3 linked regions of the Styela clava genome follow. The protein of the gene in region 3 interacts with the protein of the main gene of each other region in a biochemical or structural test. Links are inferred from orthologs where the notes say so. Each region holds a gene or a part of one and is shown on either strand. Other genes may lie near its edges.

The links.
Region 1: the proteins of DNA repair protein XRCC1-like (region 3) and DNA polymerase beta-like form a complex in vitro, tested with the Homo sapiens proteins (5 studies listed by BioGRID, with this or other methods). The link is inferred for Styela clava from reciprocal best matches to the Homo sapiens genes XRCC1 and POLB.
Region 2: the proteins of DNA repair protein XRCC1-like (region 3) and bifunctional polynucleotide phosphatase/kinase-like form a complex in vitro, tested with the Homo sapiens proteins (3 studies listed by BioGRID and IntAct, with this or other methods). The link is inferred for Styela clava from reciprocal best matches to the Homo sapiens genes XRCC1 and PNKP.

Annotation. Positions count from the first base shown.
Region 1 is NC_135251.1:20,816,759-20,824,506, forward strand, and holds the start of DNA polymerase beta-like, read left to right. Parts: upstream 1-4,730; 5' UTR 4,731-4,809; coding exon 4,810-4,870; intron 4,871-5,427; coding exon 5,428-5,552; intron 5,553-5,771; coding exon 5,772-5,905; intron 5,906-6,223; coding exon 6,224-6,325; intron 6,326-6,791; coding exon 6,792-6,846; intron 6,847-7,564; coding exon 7,565-7,711; intron 7,712-7,748. Other genes in the region: linear primary-alkylsulfatase-like, read left to right, coding at 726-1,927; putative thiopurine S-methyltransferase, read right to left, coding at 3,643-4,494.
Region 2 is NC_135258.1:17,043,029-17,050,642, forward strand, and holds the start of bifunctional polynucleotide phosphatase/kinase-like, read left to right. Parts: upstream 1-4,596; 5' UTR 4,597-4,797; intron 4,798-6,477; 5' UTR 6,478-6,498; coding exon 6,499-7,614. Other genes in the region: DNA-directed RNA polymerase II subunit RPB9-like, read right to left, coding at 2,067-2,184, 2,856-3,004, 3,550-3,604, 4,290-4,351. UniProt on the Homo sapiens protein: Plays a key role in the repair of DNA damage, functioning as part of both the non-homologous end-joining (NHEJ) and base excision repair (BER) pathways.
Region 3 is NC_135250.1:11,227,955-11,235,450, reverse strand, and holds the start of DNA repair protein XRCC1-like, read left to right. Parts: upstream 1-4,471; 5' UTR 4,472-4,541; coding exon 4,542-4,592; intron 4,593-5,174; coding exon 5,175-5,369; intron 5,370-5,801; coding exon 5,802-5,960; intron 5,961-6,744; coding exon 6,745-6,828; intron 6,829-7,237; coding exon 7,238-7,370; intron 7,371-7,496. Other genes in the region: maspardin-like, read left to right, coding at 373-1,449; syntaxin-17-like, read left to right, coding at 2,638-3,915. UniProt on the Homo sapiens protein: Scaffold protein involved in DNA single-strand break repair by mediating the assembly of DNA break repair protein complexes. Negatively regulates ADP-ribosyltransferase activity of PARP1 during base-excision repair in order to prevent excessive PARP1 activity.

The DNA of each region.
Region 1 (7,748 bases), on a different chromosome or scaffold from region 3:
TGTCTAAAAACATATATATCTGATATGACACTGGGCTGTAAATCGGAAGTTCTGTTCATGGCTTCCATCACTTATTTTTAACCATATTTCATGAGATGCTCCACATATCTGCTCCAGACAAGGCTCTAAGCCAGTTTGGTCAACTTTTTCTACGAACTAATATGAATTATGATATTGATCATTTCTGTAATTCCTTTTTTTTCTATCTGACAAGAGTAATGATGTATCAATATATAAGTATTATAAATCAAAATCTAATTTCGATTACAACCAGTGGTGGGATTTAGCCGGTTCGCACCGGTTCTATAGAACTGTCTCACGGAATTTTATAAGATCAGCGAACCGGTTGGCATTACTGGTTACTGCCAATGACTTTTCGTAACAGAACCGGCTGAAAAATATGACTTTTGTGATCGAACCGGCTGACAAAAAATTTGATTTCCACCACTGATTACAATACATTGATTAGGTAGGCCGTAGGGTGGTCAACGATGATAGTCGTAAAAGTGCGACTATAAAGAATTGTTTGCGTGTGACTATTTCGCAAAGGGGACACTCTATAATCTACGAAATGTAAAATATTTCTACTTCCATTATGTCAACGATGCCAATTCACTCATCCCAATATTCATGTCGAAACCCGTTGGTGTTTAAGCTAACAGCGTACATAATTTATGAATGTAGCTCACGAAAATTGATTAAGCTAAATTTTTTTTACGTGTCAGGCATCGAATTTGAACTCATACACACACCTGGAGAAACCCCTGATCAAATCACAGTATGGCTGCCAAAGGAAGAAGTTGCAATGCCGGGTGACAACATTTATAAAACCTTTCCTAATCTATATGCAATCAGAGGCTCGCCTCCGCGAAATGTGAGAATGTGGTATCAAAGTCTAGACAAAACCAGAGTTCTGAAGGCGAAATATCTTGTGGGATCCCATACCAGACCAGTTATCGGAAAAGATGAAGTTTATGAAACCTTGACGGTGTACAGAGATGCAATAAAATACATTCATGACCAAACATTACGGCTCATCAACAAAGGCTATTATCCTGGGCAAATTGTTGCTAATGTCAAACTACCCGACTTAGTCGCTCAACATCCGTTCTTGCAAGAACACTACGGCACTGTCGCATGGTCCGTGAAAAGCGTTTTCAATGATTACCTTGGGTGGTTCAGTGGAAATCCGCAAGATTTGCACCCGATGACTGAAAATGAGCGTGCTACACGGATGGCTAGGTTAATAACGTATGCTCAAAGTCAACAAATCTGCGCGGCGGAAGTAATGCTACGTGAAGCTGAAATATCTCACAAAAAATCGTATGAGCATTATTTGTCAAAGGGGAAGTATCTTGTGACTGAAGACAAATGGGCTTTGGAACTAGTTGATACCGTACTTCAGCTCGGTAGCTTAGAAGAAGCTCTCAGCAACACAGCTCGACAAGTGAAAATAAGTGCACTTAGAGCACTAGGCGTTGAAGAAATAAGCGCAAATGGCAGAAATTATTACTTGACCTGTGCATTGGAATTAGAATCGAACATTTCGCTGGATCAAACGAAAAAGGCCATCTCCATAACAATAAAAAGGACCCCCATTGAGAAAGTCCTTGAAATGTTAAGTCTCAAAGTAAAAGGTTTGGAATGTCAGCATCAAAAATATACGATTGGTCTCACATTTTTAGATCTGGATAAAGATTTCATATTGACCCTACGGAATAGTGTATGTGACGTCATTGAAGCAGGTACGGAAGATGAAAATCCACAAGTCCGGCTGACAATGAGGTCTGATGTGTACAAATCAATAATGAATGAAAACAAAAATTGGGAGGAAGAAGTCAAGGCTGGAAACGTTACAGTGGCGAGCGGAGCATTGGAAACCTACATGAAATTTTTAAAATGCTTCGACCCCCTCAACTATGATTGATACTTTGAGATTGGAAAACACAACAAACAATTTTTATAATTTCTCTATGAAGTGGAAAAATATGATCTAATAACAGAATCCATCACCGCATACTATTCATATATATAACCTCTAATTACTGAAGACTAAGTGATATTGGCATGAATTCATATCATACCCTTTTGAATTCGATCATACAACGCGATTCATCATATAAGATTATGTTTAATTTGTGGATAACATCATTCAATCATTAGAAAGTATATTATCAGATCAGTAACAAGAGAGCTATGCTCAAATATATGGACACGTAGCGCCACCTAATGGCAATAATTTTGATGACGTCATAGCAACAACAAAAAAAGTAATAGCCTTCTGAAGAAAATTTTTAACTTTAACCACTGAAAGTTTCAAAGCAATTGGTCCAGTAACCAAAGAGAAAAGCGACTTTTTAAAAACTTGTCAAAGAACAAGAACATAATATTGAAACGATCGCTATGTCCACTACGTGTCCAAAAATAATATCTTGACTCGTATATATATTAAGAGCATTCTAATTTGAAAATGAATCGAGATTTATCGAATGAAATTAAGTTTACCTTGATGTTTGAATATTAAAAGCTTGATTGTACAATAGCCTATATTGAACAAGTTACATTTTATCAGATATGTTGTTGTTTTCGCATTCACCTTAAAGTAGTAAGTAACCCGAACAGTTTGGGGCTTGGGCCGCGAAACATTTACAAATGTACCATACATTTTCGATTAGATCGGGAAATCGTGGCATTATCATGACGTATCAACAATTATGAAACAATGTAAACAATTCATAATTTAGGTACGCCCCCACATGTTGGAAAGTGTAAGTATGCTACTGGGCAGATAAATATTTTGTTGAATTCGGTTGACATTAACAAAGACGCCGGTTTCTGTGGTTCTCATTTTTATGTCCAATAAGTTACATTTGAAACAATAAATAAACCAGGTTTCGATTTTTGTAAGTCACAAAATGAAAATGGATAACTTTGGAAAAAGAAAAGGTAACGAAATAAATGAAAAAAGGGAAGGCTCGAAAAGTTGTAATGAGAAAATATGAATCTGATTACATCAAATATGGTTTCATTGAGGCAGGAAATGATTTTGAGCCAAAAGCATAATGTGTTGAGTGTTATTGTTACTTTGCGTGTGAACTTGTCTCCTATCAAGCCTCGACTCGATCTAATAATATCCAATATGCAAGCTCAAGTTTCGCATAAATAGTAGATTTCATGATTGTGGATACATTGTTTCTTTTCTCATTCATTAACATCTCATTGCGGGTCGCACAAAAACGCCAATAAAGGTGGGTCGCGAACTGAAAAAGTTTGCGAAGCACTGGTCTAGTCTCGATAACAGTCTTGGGACGACGAAATGACCATCGAGTTATTTGATTTATACTTAAATTCTGGAAACACAACTAAAAACTGACAAGTAGCATGCAAAACCACGAAAAATTGGTAATATAAACCATGCCTGAAAATTTTTCTGAGTGATAACTGGCAAAAGTGTCTCAGTGGAAAACATCCATAGGATTTTTAAATTTAGTTGTATTTCTACTAAAATTCATAACAAACATTGTAATGTAAGTGAGGTGACAGGCGTTCTCAATGTCGTTGAGATTAGTCGATGAAAATGATTTACATAATGCAGGAATTACCGGGAACAATAAGCCTGGCACGTATTCAAATAATTTCACTTTATTTGCATGTTATTAGGAAAACTCTTTCAAGTCCCCACTCGGAATCCTCTTCGTCCACTTTATCCCAAGTAAAATATTCGCCGAAAAGTTCGGTCATGTCCGCATCCGTAATATCGAATGGGTTATTGATCCAAGTTCTCTTTTCGCCAAAATACATTGCACTCAGCATGTATTTTGCTTGTTTGTCTAAGACTGACCGCATAATTTCGACGTATGGTTTTCTTGAGGCAAGCTCAATTGTATTCAAGCTTGCCGAATCCCACACCGCGTCGAACAGTCCACCAGCGATATCCGAATTGAATTTAAAATAATCTCCTTCATATATAACTACATTCGCAGTTTTTCCGGTATACACTCGAAAACTGTGATCTTTTGTTGAAACCGATTTTTCGAATTCCACTGAATTTTCCTCAAAAAATTCCAAAATGGCGTGTTCAGAACATTCTAATCCAACCACTTCGTACCCTTCGTCAATCAACCACTTTATATCTGGTGACTTTCCGCACAATGGAAGAAATATTCTCTTTCGAATGGCGTTTGGTAAAAGAGATTTGATGTGCTTTCTAAGCATTGGGCTGGCCTGATCAAATGGATTGTCTTCGTCGCCATGTTCGCAAATATCACCGCCTTTGCTACCTTTACTTTTAGAACGTTCGTAATCCTTTTTCCACCATTCATTCCACTGATCTATGGTTAACAACTTGTGATCTTCCGATTCTGCCATTCCTGCTGTTTGTAACAAACGGTATATATTATGAAACAACGCTTGAATACGGATACGGGCATACGAATCGCTGGTCAAAATATAGTCACTTTGGTCAAAACATAGTTTGCTGATCGAATCTTCCATTGATTACTAGGCGCTGTTCCTCTGTAAAGTCATGTTAAATATATCTGTATAAAATATGTAGGAAAATGATTGTTTAAGTTAATGTATATATTTAAAACATGTGGTCCACAAGTGATAAACTTCTCATAGAAAACTAGGTCGAAAAGGAGTTGGAAATTTGATCTGAGAATTTACATTGGGAACACATTTCTTCGCATGACGGCGTAGCGCTCGAGTGAACGCAAGCCGGCTATTAGGTTTCTGAACCCGCATCACATCACGTATTGCTCCAGGCGTGCACCGCAGTTTTAGCGTTTGCAAATTTGCACATTCAATATGATCAAACGAAAAGCGCCAACAGATAATCCTAATTCTGGAATTACAGATTTTTTGACAGGTAACGTTGTCATACGGTAAGCTTTTGGTGAATTGAGTTGCTAGTCGAATGGAGAAATTAGATGAAATCGCAAATGCTGAAATGCGAGTTACCTAGCATAGGCTATAACGAGCATAATTCTGCGATGGTTTTGTTTTTGATAAGAGTGTAAGAACGATGAAATAAGCCAGATAAATGAATAACTGAACCAGGTATTTCAAAAACCCCATTCTGCGATGACATTCGAGGCTAAATAGCGTCTTGGGGTTTTCCTCAGTGCACATTTTTTAATCCATCAGATTCTGAGATAAGCTAGCCTCGAATAATGAATAATTAACAATTGGATAATCATTAAAAATTGATTGTTGGGTTACTCCGCTTAATTACAAAGAAATCAGACCTAGACTATAATTTTTTCTGTTCAGTCTGAACCTTCAACCAACACTTTGTTGACGTTTAAAGTTTTTTGTTGTCACTTTTTGCTATTGGTAATTCAGTGCTGGATTTTTTGTCAGTCATTCAAATTGTGAATTAATTATGAACTATTATAATACCTTCACCTTCTTTTTTGATTTCAGAACTTGCTGATTATGAGAAAAATGTCAACAGATCATTTCATAAATCAAATGCATATCGGAAAGCAGCAAGTGCCATATCAAAATGTAACGAACCAATAAAAAAGGGATCAGATGCTCGGAAACTGGTCAGAAAAATTTTGTACCACAATCTAAGAAAATAGACGACTAGGCCTATAGGCTAATAAAACGTTATTAACGTTGGTACGAAAATTACCCAAAGTTTATTTTTTGCATGAATCAAACCATTTCGTCGTTTTATAAATTTCATATGACAATTCTGAAATAAATTTTTTTTAATATATAAAAGGTTCGAGGTGTTTATTTATAATATGTATTATTTGCAGGAAGGCGTGGGTGCAAAAATCGCTGAAAAAATTGATGAATTCCTTACCACTGGAAAACTTCGCAAGATTGAGAAAATTAGATCAGATGAAACATCTCAAGCAATATCCCTTCTCACAAGAGTATCAGGAATTGGGTTAGTAGACCTATTTCAATTTTTTAAGAAAAAATAAACTTTTGTTGGGAAATGTAATCGTATAAGTTCAGGGTAGTATTATTTTAATTGCTATTTAGAAAAGTTTCCCTAACATTTCAATCGGTTTCAAGTCGAAACAACCCGTGTTTTTTATTAAAGCCTGTAAGAATCTATTTAAACATAGCTTGCATCTTTAATTGTACTCTGCCTTTTGCCCATTACTTTATATCTTTCTAATTTTGAGTGTTTTTTTATTATTCTCCATTTACTTTAACTGAACAACTTATCGATAACCTTTATTTTCTAACAAAACTATAGTCCTGCCGCTGCGAGGAAATTGGTTGATGAAGGTCTGACAACGCTTGAACTTTTACGAGAAAATATAAGTAAACTAACACATCATCAACAAATTGGACTCAAGTAAGTCTGCTTAGAAATTGTTCAGTTACCCTAGTTCTTTTGATTATTGTTTAAATCCAGTACAGAGTTTGTTACTTAGCTTCAATTTAGGTTTAAAAAGTAACTGAATGTAAGAGATTGTAATATGTAAGTAATAATTGTAATCGAACAAGGAAATGTAATTAATTGAATTTCTTGATCCATTGTTTCTCACACACACACACACACACGGTGATATTTTTTGTTGGTGTTTATTTGATGACCTATTTTGGAAATAAGTTTAGAAGCAACTTTTTTTACTAGGACATGTGTGAACCGATATCAGAGTTTTTGTTTTACGAGGTTAACATTGTTTTGAACCAGGCTATATTGGCTTTTTGTAATATTAAGGAGGTCGATTGAACTGACTGCCAAAATTGTTGTTTTATTTAAACATGTCTATGATATCATTGTTCCTCATTAAATGTACATGAACTCTTCGTTCAAGGTACTTTGAAGATTTCGAAAAAAGAATTCCAAGAGCGGAGATGGAAGTACTTGAAGTATGCTATTCCATATTTCCAAACTTTCTGTATCAGATTCTCAGTTTTATTATATCTCTACATTTAAATTAAACATTTTTCTTTCTTGTGATTCACACACATGCTGTTGTCGGTCAGAATCTGGCCGAGCAAAAACCACGTTTTGCAGCCAATTTTTAGGTTAGAGTATTGGACACAGTAAATTGACAATTCCTGCCTGCTTGATTTGTTATTGAAATTTATTATTAAACATAAACTACAATTTAGAACCAACAGCCTTAGCAGAGATACCTATATACTGTATATACATGCCGAAAGGTCACCCCACCGTATAGGTCGTGCTATTAGTTTTGTGTTAAAAAAGTTTAATTTAGAGTTGACTCGCACATGAGTCGCACTGAAAATCTAGGGATTTAAAAGCCCTTTCCCTAGCTTTTTTGCATAGATAACTTCCTATTTTGTTTTTTTTGTAGGGCATAATATATTCAAAATATGTTTACTTGCAATTGCAATAGCCGAAAATTTTCAATTTTGTTCCGACTTGGTGGCGATTTGCACTTGTGTCAAGCAGATTAGTCGCACCTTATAAGAAAATAATTGCGTCTTATCTGCGAGTATGTACGGTAGTCATTTACTAGCACTGTTTCGGCTATAGTTTTATATTGAAGGTTAAATGAAAAATAGTTCTAGTAATCTATCTAGTCAATAATCTGTTGAATAATTCTATTATTATTTTTAGAAAGTAGTCAATGAAAGAATACAAGAATTGGATAAAGAATACAGAAGTCAAGTATGTGGAAGTTACAGACGTGGGGCATCATCTAGTGGTGATATTGACGTGTTACTTACTCATTCCTCGTTTTCTTCAACCGATAAGCAGAAAAGGGTGAGTTTTGCAACAAGAAGATGATAGAAACGCTATA
Region 2 (7,614 bases), on a different chromosome or scaffold from region 3:
TGTGTTTCCATAGGGAGTAAAATTTAAAATTGACCTTTATTACTAACCCAATAGTTTTCACTGCTCTATATAGATAATAAAAAATTATCCTTCAGGCTGAATTTAAATTACTAACAAATTTTTCGTGCTTTATGGGATGATTCTTGAAGTTTTATTAAGTATATGATGAATTTCTGGATTGTATTAAAATTTTCATGTAAATGAGGTGAAGTATTCCACTTATAATTAAAAAATTGAATGACTTTTTTTCTTGCTATTATATCAGTTTCTATGGCCTATTCCAATACCTTACATTGCTTTTAAGAATAAACATTCCCTCTTAACTGAAATTTATGCTTGTTTTGCTTAAAAAATTGGTTGTTCTTAGTCTAGTTGTGTTGAATTAGCTAGATGTCGATATGTTCAATGATTCTCATAATCACTTATTCAATCCTGTGTTGATTTTTTTGTTGCTTTAATAACCCATATCTAATTACTAATACAACAGGGTAAAGCTATGATTATTTTAACATCTCGTACTAAATAATTTTAATACAAAGATGGTTCATATTTTCGGTTTCCATCTGATTTATCTGTAGTTAAATTGAAACCATGTATGCTAATATTATTTGCTTGCAACTGTTACATTCTTTTTGATTTTGATGCGTTAACTGTCGCTAAAACTACCATTAGATTTCATTGCTGAAAATATTTCAATAAAAACTGAAAAGGGCAATAAGTTTGTGCAATTGTATGGATCGTGCAGGTTCGGTAGTATGGCAAATTACAGTGATCCTGTAACCAATCAGTGTCCGTAAATAGTTAACCAGCTTCTTGTGTCAAATGCATGGAGTTGATGGCAGGAGAAGCTGTGAGCTCACACATATTTATTCCTATGGGATTCGAACCCACTCAAGGTAGTCAGAGGTGTGGTGTGTGGTGACATGCATATTCCTAAGCTTCGCACAATGCGATAGCCTGACTATACTTTCTGCAACATTATTAGTTCTTGGATGTGTAAGTGAATGCAAAAATTCTAGAATACACCCTCACAGATAAAAGCAGTGCATGGCAACTTCAGGAACACGGAGATGTCACAAGAAGATTGTGACCCATGCGCTTTGTATGCTAAGATTGAAAAAATAGTCAAATGAGAACATGTTCTTGTGGTCCAGGATAACATAACAGAACAAATTAAGGGCAACTCTTGACCTATCATAGTTTATTTGGCCCGTTTGAGCCAGTTGAAAAGGGTATTCGGCGCTTTCACACGAATCTCCATTATCCTCCAATTTTGAGTGCACTTTGAATGTGAAGCATTGTTTATGTTAGGGACTATTTGTACACAATTGACTGGTTTTTATAAGGGGTCCCAACACTTTCGGTGTGAACAGTCGGTTTCAAGTCACAGTTCTAGAGAATCATGCACCAGAGGAACAGGTTTGGGCTTGAATCTTTAACAATTAATGCCATGCTCATCCCGCTATATATTTCAAATCAACTATTTTGGCTAGAATGTACACAACTCTACCGCATTTGTTTTCTCATCTGTTCTGGCATCACATGCCCGCCCAATCATTTAATAGAAAAAGTTTATTCATTGTATTTTTGAAATTTAAAGACGAATTTTACCTTTGTAGCAAACGGGTTCTACTACAAGTATTCACAATAACATGCATAATGAAAGTCTTTATAACTTATAGATTTCGTTCAATGGAGCAGTTATATGGTTGAATCATCGTTCATCAACATTGCGTACCTATTTGATATGGGATTCCTAGCATATATTTCCTAAAAATTTGGTGAAACATACCATAATAAATGTCAATATACAAGAGCTTATAGGTGTAGAGCTTGCAACAAAGATTTGGTTTGTTAATGAAAAAAGCTGGTAAAAATAGTAACACAAAATCTTTAGCAACAAGCACACAACCCTGTCCGATTCCATAGGCTTTGTCAGTTCTTATTAGTGAGAGGTCCTCATGGATTCATGTTGGTCGTTTTGATGACCAAAAGATGTTTCATTCACCTTGTGCATGTATCGATGTATGATTGCATTCAAGTATTGCACAATTTGATGGAATAGATTACAATTGAGTCCATCGATGACCACATTGTGGGTTTGTGCAAACAAAATAAAGTCTCATGCCTTCCTCTGCTCTTGTTGATTGAGATTGGAAGAATACAGCTTCTTTATGCTGACATCTGAAAAATATAAAATGGAAAAGGATAGAAGCAAAGTGAAAGAATAATCAGGTCTCTCATCAACTTTAGTTGCCTAGCCATAACTATCACAAGAGTATTATCTTTCTACTGTTTTTTTCTTCTGATGACAACTTTAGACCATAAACTTGAACCTAATAAAGCATTATCCGCTTACAAACAAATTTGTATAAATATTTTTTTGTGAGCTGGTTCGAAACTAAAATCTTTCACGGCTTACAAAACACCACAAATCTTCTGCAATTAAATTTGGTCTTGACTCATTTATTTAGCAATGATAGCTTCGAGCTTGTTTTGATACAAGCAGATGCTCCCTCCCACATTTTAATACCACAAGCATTGGAAAATCAGACAATTGAATTTCTTTTCCATAAAACACCTGGCAGAAAATAGGTTGGTAGGCAGTAACAAACTGTGATACAGAATTATTGTTAGATTGTACAACTTATCGCATCTACGTATAGATACGTACCATTTCTGCATATCTGATAATAAATCCTAATTATTAGATGAACAGCAGATCTGCAAGATATGCTATGACATTCATAAAGATGTATAAAAGCCTACCTTATGATCGATGGATCTAATCCAATCAAAAACACGGTAATTATAAGAAAAAAAATTTGAAATATACATTGTAACTATAAACTAACTTGGGACATGAATGATCCTTTGTTCGTGGCAAAGTTGGATCTTGTGCTACATCAGCAATGATTTGTGTTAATTCATCAACTTCATGGACAATCTTATTTACATAAATACATGCATTGTCAGCTTCCATTTGAAAGTCACAGTTACGACACTGAAAGAGAACATAAGGCTCAGTTAAATATAAAACTTGAACTAAACTTCTTCAAAAATCATTAACAACTGATATGATTTCTTGATTTTGTGGGATATTAAACAAACAATTTCAGGTGCACATTGTAAAACCAGAATGTTTACTCAGTGATTCCCAACCCCAGGACCGTGGACTCGTACATAAAAGCCTTGTTGAGCCTTGAACCTTGTCGAGGTTGCGAAGATATCAGGAAAAAAAAGCAATAAGCACAAAGCTTAGGGGTTTGAAAAAACATTAACTTCTAAATGGTATTTATCGTATGTAATAATCTCAAATAATAAACAAACTTGGTAAAATCAACGTTTGTATAATTTTCATGTCTTGAGTCGGCTGCGATTCATTTCATTTCAAAAATGGTTCATGCCCAAAAAAGTTTGGGAATGTGCAAGTGCAACTTCATCTACTGGGTTAAATAATAATATTCATTTCAAGTAAGGAGTACACGGACATAGGTAGTTCGAAAAGAATTATCCTATATCTATATTCTATTCATTAGCTTATCTCACTGAGTAGAGTAGAATTCTGTTCTGCTTGTCTTCTTTTGGATAGAGCATGTTGTTGCTAAAAAGTTGTAATATTAATTTAGTAACAATTTAATGAGACGCACTAATATATGTCTGTATTCATCATTTGAAAAGCATAGAATTATATCTCCTGATCTCAGAAATTGCAAATGACAAAGCCAACCACCGTCAGATGTGGTTCATTTGAGTGTATTTGCATATGTCTGTATGTAAAAATTTTTTATCCACTTCAAAGCAGGTGGCGTATCAAAACGAATTTTGCATATAGTATTCCTAATCCCCACCTGAATATGCCATCCAAAAATTACGTCATTAGGAAGTCATCATCAGAGCTTGCCAAAGCATAACTACGATCGCCCGAAATGGCATCTGCGCCTCAGATAACAAACTTGCTAGCGCCGACGAACTCTCTCATATCGTGATCATTGCGACGAGAAAAATGGATTGCTCGATTTCGAGTGATTGTCTGCACGTTTTGGACGACCATCCTCATACTTTGGTGGGCCTTATTACGCCACTGTGAATTCGCAAGGACGTGATTTTCTGGTGACGTAGTCAGGTGGGGGTTAGAAATGACATATGCAAAAATTGTTGAGCCAGGCCAACTAGAAGTGCATGTAGTACTAAACTATTCCAGACCCAATATGCCAACGCTTACACACAACCCAACTAACAGACTAAACTGTAGGAACTGGGAAAAGATTTAGACATTGTAAACTCACCATTCTTGACAAAATTTGATTCCAACAAAACCAGGTCCTTTTTGGTTAACGTGCTCTTGCATTTTGATGACGAGCTGCACAATTATGCTCCAGAAATACAGAAATATGATTTGTAGCGAACAGACAATGAACACACAAGACAGGCGGACAAAACCGAACAATATGTAAATTGTGAGGCGCTAAAGAGCAGTACCGGCACATCATACACAGTAGGGGAATTCCCGTTGTCAACGGAATTGACCTATGTCGTTATGATTTACCGGGAAAAGATTCGCATTTATTACTAGTACAGTATAAGTTTATTTCGACTCCAAAATCAGCACGACAGAATGAGATTTGTAATATTTTTTTTTTTACATTGTTACTCGAACACCTTACGAAAGATGGCGCAATGATCATTGTGATGTCCGGACGTTGACATTTCAGCATTTGCTGATTCAGGTGCTGGCCGGTTAGAGAAAATTTCATACTGGATTGTCAACATTGGATTTCATATGTATATTTAATGGTTTGTATAACTGTTTTATTTTTTCTATAAATAATTCGCACTCAATAGGGTTGTTAAACGTGTCATCGCCTTTCCTCGGGGCTCCCTAAAACAGTAATATTTTTTTAGACACCATTGTGGGCACTATGATTTTTTTTTCAGTAGTTTATTAAGATTTCGGTCTCTTGAATAAACATGTGCATTTCTATATCGCATGGAACAATAATATATGGTTGTATAAGTAGGATCAAACTTCCCAACTTTATGAGGCAGACTATAATCAATTTGCCAATGGTAAAATATGGCAACCCTGAGCAGAAAATCAAGCACTCTTGAAATTTCAGGCACTTTGAAAAAACATAATTTCCATCATTTCTGCTTTCTTTATTTTTGATTTTTCTGCTTTAAAGTAATCATTAACATTAGGACATATCTAGGTATTTACAAAGTGCCTGAAGTTTCACGAGTGCCTCTTTTTGTATTGAGTGTTGCCATATTTTACTATTGAAAAATTAATTATACCTTATTAAATTGAAAAATTGCATTTTTTTAATGTACAATTTCATTCAAGGTCTAATAAAACTTAACCCCAATGAACTACGAAAAAAAAAAGAAAAAAAAAATTAATGTGCCTGAAAAAGTGCCTGAACTCTTATGTTTATAAAAAGGAATTGAATTTTTTGAGGGCTCGTTAACCCTTTCAATGCGATTTTTATTTTTTATTAAATAATCGTATTTGCTACGCTGATTTTATGCATTTGTACCCCCACAACTAATCGATCGACTAATGAAAAACTAATGATCCTCTGCTGCCCACTGACGACTCGTTAGAAAGCTTATTTAAAGAGCTTGCAGTTGGCGATTAAAAAAAAAAGTTTTTTAAAATGTGGTGGTCTGAGTCACAAACCGGATAGAAAAAGGGCATTTTTTTTTCTTGGGAGTTGAAACTTCAAACCGTGATAAAAAAATAGAAATATTAGCTAAACCCTTTACTGTTACCGCTTCGTGGTTGGCAAACAATAGCATAATATTGCTGTAGCAATTTCGTGATCTAACTCAAAATCCTTTGGTAGATGGAAGGGATAATATGTCTTCTATTACCACCCAAAAAACACAGAAATTTGCATAAATTTCAAAATCACTCCCTCGTTCCGCCGCAAATAAAATTCCCGTTGTAAACAAAAGCGAGATTTATCGTCGCTTATGTTAATCTCGAAGAAGACTTCTTATCAATAAACTAAAACCCGGATAAACTAGACCAACAATTTGCGACCGATTGCTAAATAAAACTATGGGTAACTTGAAGTACCCGCCGTGATCTAGCGAGTTTTGTCGTTGGTACGTATACGTGCCCACCGCCTGGAAAGGGTTAACAGGCTTAAATTTAAAAAATATTTTTTCACTACAATAATAATGACATAATATGTTTCAATTGAGCTCTTGATGGAATGCAATAATACGAGTTAAACATAAAAAAAACATAACTTTTGTTGACCTTATAGGCTATGAACAAATAATTGTAATTGATTGCGTGCCTCATCCTAATAAGAATTTTCTTTAGGGGTCGGTCGATCTTGTTAACCTTGCAGTCTTACCCGCCCCTTTGCGATTATATTTCATGATTACTGTTTATTCTTTTTACTGCAATGTGTACATTGATGATAAATTCGGAAATAAATTATTATCACTCTCTCATTATAGGGTCATAGATAATTCTGTATAATGCTTCAATTGAGGTGCTGTAATGATAGACACGAACCTATTCCATTACCAAATGGTGTTCCTGTCATACTAGGAAGAAGTCCACAAACTAAAATCATTGAGAAAATTTGTTCAAGAAAGCAAGTTGAATTAACAGCAAACTATGAAAAAGAAAGCGTCACTTTGAAACATCTTGGAACTAACCCGTCTATGATTGGTCAACAAGAGATTGCAAAAGGACACGAGAAGAAGTTAAAAGTTGGTGATATTTTCTATTTTGTTGTTCAACAATATCCACATGAAATTATTAAAACGCAAAAAACAACAGCTGAAAAACGAACAATCGACTCATATTTTGGGCCTAGTTCTTCAGAATCCAAAACGGAAACACCAATACCAAAAAAAGCCAAAATGGTAAATGAAGATGAGGTATCGGATGATCAGAGTGATGATGAAAATAAAGTTGCGGAAAAGCTCAAATTTTTACAAAGCAAAAGTCTATCCATTGTGAAAACAGAAAAATCAAAAGATGGTGGTAGAGAGAAAAATGTATTTAGAGGATGGATAAAATCTGACTATCCAGTTGGTTGGGAAGAAAAAGAAGGCTTATTAATTTATCATTCTCCGCAGTTGTATAATTCATCAAAAATAGCAGCATTTGATATGGATGGTACAATAATAACAACAGCATCGGGTAGGACATTTGCAAAAGATCATAATGATTGGAAGATACTTTACGCCGAAGTACCAGGAAAATTGAAAAAGCTTCAAAATGACCAATATAAAATAGTGATAATAACCAACCAACTGGGGATTGGGAAAGGTAAACTTCAACCAAAGGATTTCAAAACCAAAGTCGAAAACATTTTGGGAAAGCTTGGTATTAAAGCTCAGGTGATAGCAATTACGAAAAAGGGTCCGTCTCGAAAACCTAACATTGGAACATGGACTTGGCTGGCAAAACAAGGTAATGGGGGAATACCGATTGATATGTCTCATAGTTATTATGTCGGAGATGCAGCTGGCCGCCCAAAAGATTGGGCTCCAAAAAAGAAAAAAGATTTTTCGTGTACTGATAGATTATTTGCTATGAATTTGGAAATTGATTTCAAAACTCCCGAGGAATATTTTCTTTCA
Region 3 (7,496 bases):
GAGAGAAAACGCTCGTCACTGATTAATATTTAGAAATCCGAAATGCAAAAATTGACGCACGGCGTCGAAGAGGGGGAAGCCGAATCTGGTATCGATTCCTTTTGGATTCGAATCTTCCGGATTCAGTATTCTATATTGCCCATCTCTAGCTAAACCGCAGAGCCATTTACTTCATGATAATGGTAAAACATGTGAGCTAAAAGCCTTTCATTATCTCATTCATCTATTTCTTATAATCTCAACATTTTATTTCAGTTTGTTCGTGAGGTTATCTATGATATCGAAGGCTAAGACGGTCATTTTCTTGCCTGTCATGCCAATATTGGTTTTTCCACGAGATAATTTTAATTTTTGAACACAAAGAATTGAGGTATGAATAAATTGGTCGCAACCAATGAATACCTTAGTTTCCGTAATGCAGTTCCATTGAAAAGAGTGATTGTAGATGAAGGGGATTCAAAAGTTTGGAGCTTATATGATGCTGGACCAAAGACTGTAAAATGCCCAATTATTTGTCTCCCACCAGCGGCTGGAAAAGCTGATGTTTTTTACCGGCAAGTGTTGGGTCTTTCCGGCATGGGGTATAGAACAATAGCATTGGATTATCCAGTTTACTGGACCGTTGAAGAATTTTGCGTTGGCCTACGAAAAATTATTGATCATCTTCACTTGGATCAGATACATATATTTGGTTGCTCGCTGGGTGCTTATCTTGGTCTTAAGTTTGCTGAAAGAATGCGTAATACGCCATATATTGCTTCAATAGTTTTATGCAATGGCTTTACAGATACTTCTGTGTTCAAATACACGAGAGCATCATCAGCTTTTTGGCTCATACCTGGTTTTCTTTTGAAACGACTGGTAATGGGCAGTTTCACTCGAGATGTTACGGATGCCCCTCAAGCGGATGCAACAGATTTCGTTGTTGAGTGTCTTGAAAATCTCACTCAACAAGAAATTGCATCACGTCTCGTACTTCATTGTAACGGGGATTATGTTAGAAAGCCACATTCCTTACAACACATTGCTGTTACGTTAATGGATGTTTTTGATGAAAGTGCCTTGTCACAAAGTGTTAAGGATGACATGTACAAATGCTTTCCAAATGCAAAGCGGGCTCACTTAAAGACAGGTGGTAATTTTCCATATTTAAGCAGATCTTCTGAAGTTAATTTGCATCTAAGAATTCACCTAAAGTCTTTCGAAGGAACTAAAGCTTCAGCTCGAGAAGCACCAAGCCCCCATGATGCGACCAATTTATCACCTTCTATGCAAGCTGTTCCATCAGATGAAATTTTTCAGGAGGAAAATAGCGAAAATGATGATACGAAGCCAAAGACGTTATTAGATTTGTCAAAGTTAAATAAAGATTCAGATGATGAAATGTCCATGAATGAACCTCCGACAATTGAAGTTGATGATAATGAACCGATCGATTTTCCTATCTAAAATGTCCATTTATTTTATTCTTGCTATCAACTGTGCAATAACGAATAGTGGCCAGACTAGAGCATAGTCTACCAGTTATAAATTGTTTGAATCTTCATGTTATAGAATAGATCATGCCAACTGCTGCCATTGGGCATGTATGTTACTATGATAAAAAATATGTTTTTTTTGCTTCTGCTTATCAAGAAAAAAACAAGCTGAAACTATTCCTGATCCTTGAATATGTTACTCAGAGTGCTTATTAATGTGGATGTAGGTTCTGCTTATTTGTTGCCATAAACTCATTTACTTTCATGGAGTGGTGGTCATGTCAACCTTATCATATACAGATCAAGTGTTACAAAAACTGAAAACAATATCGCCGCAGTAAAATCAAGTTACCGTAGCTATTGTCACATTTTGAGGTTTTTGAGAAAAACACCATTTTGTAATAGTTTGCTTCTAACAGCCAGGACATTACTACCTAAAATAAAGTTGATACAGATAGCTTTGAAAAAAGATGTCCTTCTTCAATAAGGAGAGAAGTCCCTGTCACATAAACTGCAGTACTTTGGTTTTACTGTGGCGATATGACGAAATTGTTAGTTTTATTTGTGTAATATGCATTTCAGAGGTATATTTTGTAGTTATGTATTGTCTATCGACCCTATAGCTTTGTACCTACTGCATTATATCATTATAAATGAAGTTTTTTTGTCTTTTGCTGATATGTTCCTCTTATATCTTTATATGCATTGTTTGATTATTGCCTTTTTATCACTGGTGCTGTAAAAATTGATGTCAAGTGTCGCTCACCACTTGAGGGAGATAAATATTGTTTAAAAAGGGAATCTATGTGTATACTTATTTTTGGAGTCGATCAAAAAACCCATGACCGCCTACGGCGCATAGTAGTATATATGAAAACCAAGTATTAGACCACAAAATGTAATAAATATTTACGTAAAGTTTTGCAATTTCATATCAATAAAGTTATTTCACATTTCTGTCAATGTGTGAATATTCATTACATATATTGCTTGATTTCATTTCACATTTTCAGTTTTTGCCAAGAAATTACAGCCTGTAAAATTGTGTGATTTTTTTTTCAGGTGTTACTTTATATTTTATTCAATCGATGGTGTTTCGAATAAATCCAGCTGGTGATTGTACTGTGAAATTTGTTTTAAAAGATTCAACTTTGGCACTATGAATTGGAAACTCCCGTATTTATTCAGGAATCCGTTGGATTTTATAAACACAAACAAAAAACCACCAGAACAGGTCAATGGTGAACTTTTAGATGACGAAGAGGATGATTTAGGAATAAAACTCGTACAACACAAAGGAACTGTACCATTTCGAAGAGTTGAAAGCTCTGTACACACATTTGTTAATGTAGCATTACCAGCCGATTTGGACAGGCTTCACAGACATCAATGCAATATTAGAAAATGGAGAAAGTCAAAAGAATTTTGGAAATTACAAGAAGAATATATAAATTCTGGCAGAACGGTACAACAACTGACTAGAAATATTAATGAAATGGAATTACTTAGGGCTAGAGTTATTGAAGAAGATTTACCTATTTTTGACCAACATCTGGATTTGGCAAAAGAAAAAGCGAAAGCATCTATAAATGAATTTTTAGAAATACATGATGAAGGATTAAAAAGTGACGGATCAATTGTAGGTTCCTTGGATCAACGAAGCAATAAAGATAATCCAGAAACTGTTGGTAACAGACTATTACAGTCTTCTGTTTCAGGTACATCTATTTCAAGTCATACAGTTGGAGATCATTTTGTATCAAATTACCACGGCTCTAGTGAAAATATATCCAATATGCCTGAAGAAAAAAACATACATGAGGATGCATTTGTGCAGTTGCGTGGTAATAGACTTGTCATAGAGTCAAGTTGTTCTAGCAGAGGGGACTTAAATGAATATGGGGCGTACGAAAAACAAGATGATGACACATCTTCTGCAGAAGAAGCAGATGAATCAAATTTCCAAATCTTAGAATTGGATAGTCGGCAGGAGGAAGCAAATGTTGAGGAATGGTGGGATAAATTACGAAAAGACATTGTGGATTTAAACACAGTAATGAACGATTTTTCTTCCCTTGTTCATGATCAGGGTAAGATGGTGGATGACATATCAAGTAATATTGAAGACGCTGAAACTAATATAAACGAAGGGAAATCACAATTAAGAAAAGCAACAATACTAAAAGCTGCCATGTTTCCAATTTTAGGTGCTGTCGTTGGTGGTGCTGTAGGAGGTCCAATTGGGATGGTCGCAGGATTTAAGCTTGGGAGTGTCACGACAGGCCTAGCAGCAGCTGGTGTCACTGGAACTATAATTGGTTACCAAGGGGGTAAAGCTCTCAAAAAGAGGCAAGATGCTAATAGTTTTGAAATGAAAGAGATAAAACAAAAACACGAAGAAACTGACAATGTTATTGATGATGATACTACAACATAGCAGTACATATTTCACAATTTGAAATTTTATTCGTTCCGTTGAATACATGACTATGTTACCATATTTCAACTATACTTTCAAATTGTTTCTGTATGATTAATCAGTATTTATTTGAATTGAAATTTAAAAACATGACAATTGTATCAAATTTAGAGTTTTGAAGTTTCCACCAAGTGACACATACCAAATATGTTTTCGATTCAACCAACTGCTTGGTAATCTTCTGCACTTATATATACCTATTTTCCTCCATCGTTGGCTTTCTTATTTTTATAGTCTCTCCCCTGCTTTGATTGCTTTGTGTTAATTAGGACTGGCACCTCCATGCTTTAAAAAGGATGTTATATTTGTTAAATAAATTCTGATCTCAATCATACTAGAAAATTTCAAATACGTTGTTAACAAATTATTCATTAAAATTTTGAAAATCGGTTAAAATTTGGATTGAACTTTTATTTAAGTTAGAAATACTCTGTGGTCATTTGTGTAACAATCAGTTATCACTTGCTCATGAATTCTTTTATTTGTTGAATTTTGTTATGCCTTCTCTAGTATTATTTATGTTTAAATTTTGTTTTAGAATAGAATATGTTTCTTTCCATAGGTGATGGTATCTAGATTATAAAATGCCTGTTGTAAAAATAAAGCATATTGTCTCGTTCAGTAGCGAAGAAACTGTAAGTACTTAAATTCAAAATTTTTGCTTTTTGGGGTTAAAGTGAAAGATTTCTTTCTCGTTTTATTTGTCAATTAGTGGTGACCATAGATTTACGTAAAATAAAATTTGAAATTAGTGCTATGAAAAACTTTTTTTTTGATTAAATTATCACTGGGAAAATAACATTTTTTTATTGAAATCATGTTTATGCCGTTTCAATATAACAAAGGTATAATATAAAGTTTTTAGAACTTCAGTTTTCGATTGAGTTTCTATGAAATTATTCACTTGTCATTAACCTGCAATGTGGCAGTAGCTCCTCATGCATATAATGCAAAGATGCTCCAGCAAGAGTGAAGATTTCATCAAACGAAACTATAGAAACATATTTGTCTGATTGTGCACCATGACTTTTGAATCATTTGTAAACTTCAGATATGGAATACAAAATTATGCCTTACTGCGTGGGAAAAATGCATTACTACTCCGTGTCTTACACAATTGATTTTATAAATAAGACATTTTTCTTGACCCTGGGTTATAGCCTGATATCAGTGTGTTTATTTTCCAACATTTCATTATTAAATTTATTATACAACAGCCACATAAAGCTGACAACCTTCTCAATGAAGACTCATCACGGAAATGGAAATGTGCTGCAGGTGAGAAACAGGCGTGCATTGTTTTCCAACTTGAAAAATCAACTCAGTTATCAAGCATTGATATAGCAAACGAAGGATCGGCTTTTATTGAAGTTTTGGTTGGAAGATCGAGCAATGACAATGTGCAATATCAGGCAAGTGGAATTGTGCCAAGTAGTAGGTTTAATATGTGCATTAAATATCAGTGTTTTGGTTTGAAATGGCATAGGACCCAGATCCAGAACTTAAATTTTCCAACTCTAGCTGGGTTCCGGCTCCTAAGCCATTGAGGGTTTTTTGGTATGATGAATCACTATCATAAAATACCAGCTTAATAAATGCAGACAAATTTTCAAATTCAAATTTTAAATATGCCTTTTAACTTGAAACTTTAGATTTATTTTTAGAAATTAAATTTATGAAAAATTTTAAGCTGCAAAAGATTTTCTTATAAAGTATTAAGAAATTATGAATGTGAAAAAATAATTGAATGGTTCGAAGCTAAATCCATTGAAATTTCTGGTGGCTTCGGTTCCCTCTTGATAAGTTCTTAAGTTTCCTCTCAATAACTATTTACTTAATTTCAGGTTATTCTTGTCGCATCCTCATTCATGAGTCCCCAAGAAAGCAGACAAGGTTCACCACCCAATAGAGTCAGAATCTTTAACAAAGACAAACTTACATCAGACATTGCATCACAAAAATGGGACCTGGTTAAAGTTGTTTGTACCCAGCCATTTAATAAGGTTCATCATTCAGGGTTTTATTATTCTGTAAATCATTTTAGAATTAACAATGCATAAAAAACATTTGGTGTATTGGACTTGGAATGAAAACTCGATTTCTGTAATTCATGAATTAATCAGACATATTTGATACTTTGGTGCAATCATATTGGCCTGCTCACCAAGTTCTTGTTGAATATAAAATGTCAAGGGATCATCCTTTTTGCATCTGTTCTTCATTTATAAAACATTGGTGTATTTAAAAACCTTATAATATAATACATTAATAAATAAAATCAGTAATTCTCAATAAGAAACTAATTTTTTCATATCTATTTGCTGGGGTTATGCAAGACTATCTTTCTTGGCTCAATGACTTTGTGCTTGTGGATCCTTATACGGTATAATGCAAGGATACTGTAGCAAGAATAAAGATAATTATTCTATGTAGTTTATGAATGTTTCTGGCTGCTGCATCCTTGCACAAAAATATTTTGTTTTATATAACAGTGCGACTCTCAAATTACCTGGGTCTAGCTTTGATTTTTCAATTCCCATTGTTAAGCAGCAATCATGAATGCTTTTTGCAGAAGTTCCTGATGGAGCCTAAGCGTTAACTTGAACAAAAATATTTTGTTTTATATAACAGTGCGACTCTCAAATTACTTGGGTCTAGCTTTGATTTTTCAATTCCCATTGTTAAGCAGCAATCATGAATGCTTTTTGCAGAAGTTCCTGATGGAGCCTAAGCGTTCTATATAATGTTTCCCTATTTTATATTCTTTGTTTTACATTATTTTTACAGAGATCAACATATGGTTTATCTTTCATTAAATTTCATACCACAGATGATGATATTGAACAAAAGGAACCAGAGGTTCCTGTCAAGGTATTTCAACATGGTTTTAATTTAAGTCGGTGCGATTGAAGAATTTATTTGTGGTTTTGCTGTATTGACGTTTGGACATGGGCAAATTATTTTTCCTTGTATGAAATTAGTAAGCCTGTGATATACAGGGAGACACAAAAAAGGAAACCGATAAATTTCGTGATCAATTCTATGAAGAAGAAAAAAATTATTTTACCCTTGAACTTCTGTTTGTGTATGGTTGTACCGAAAAGTTTCAGTAATCTAGGACGTTTTGCACAAAACTTATGTTCTCTCTAGAATATTTTCCAATTCAAATAACTTGTATATTGGGTCACCCAGTACTAGTCAGAATTGTTTCATAATATAATGACTAGTGTTGTGATTTTTGTTGGCGTTTTCTGTAAGTTTATAGAATATTTATTTTCAGCAAAAAACTAATGATGGTCGAAAAACATTCGGCAGTTTTAAAATTAAAGAAGAAACTGATGATTCCCAATCTATTCCACCTGGAATGTCAATGAAGATGTACCAAATGGCAAAGAAAGAAAATTTAAATACAAGTTGGTATCCATGGTGATCAATATACTCACCCTCTTTGATGAAAACGATACAATATTTTGCCTCGATGTTTCGAATATCTTTACAAACAACACACGATTCATCAGGTCAATGAATGGATGACAAAT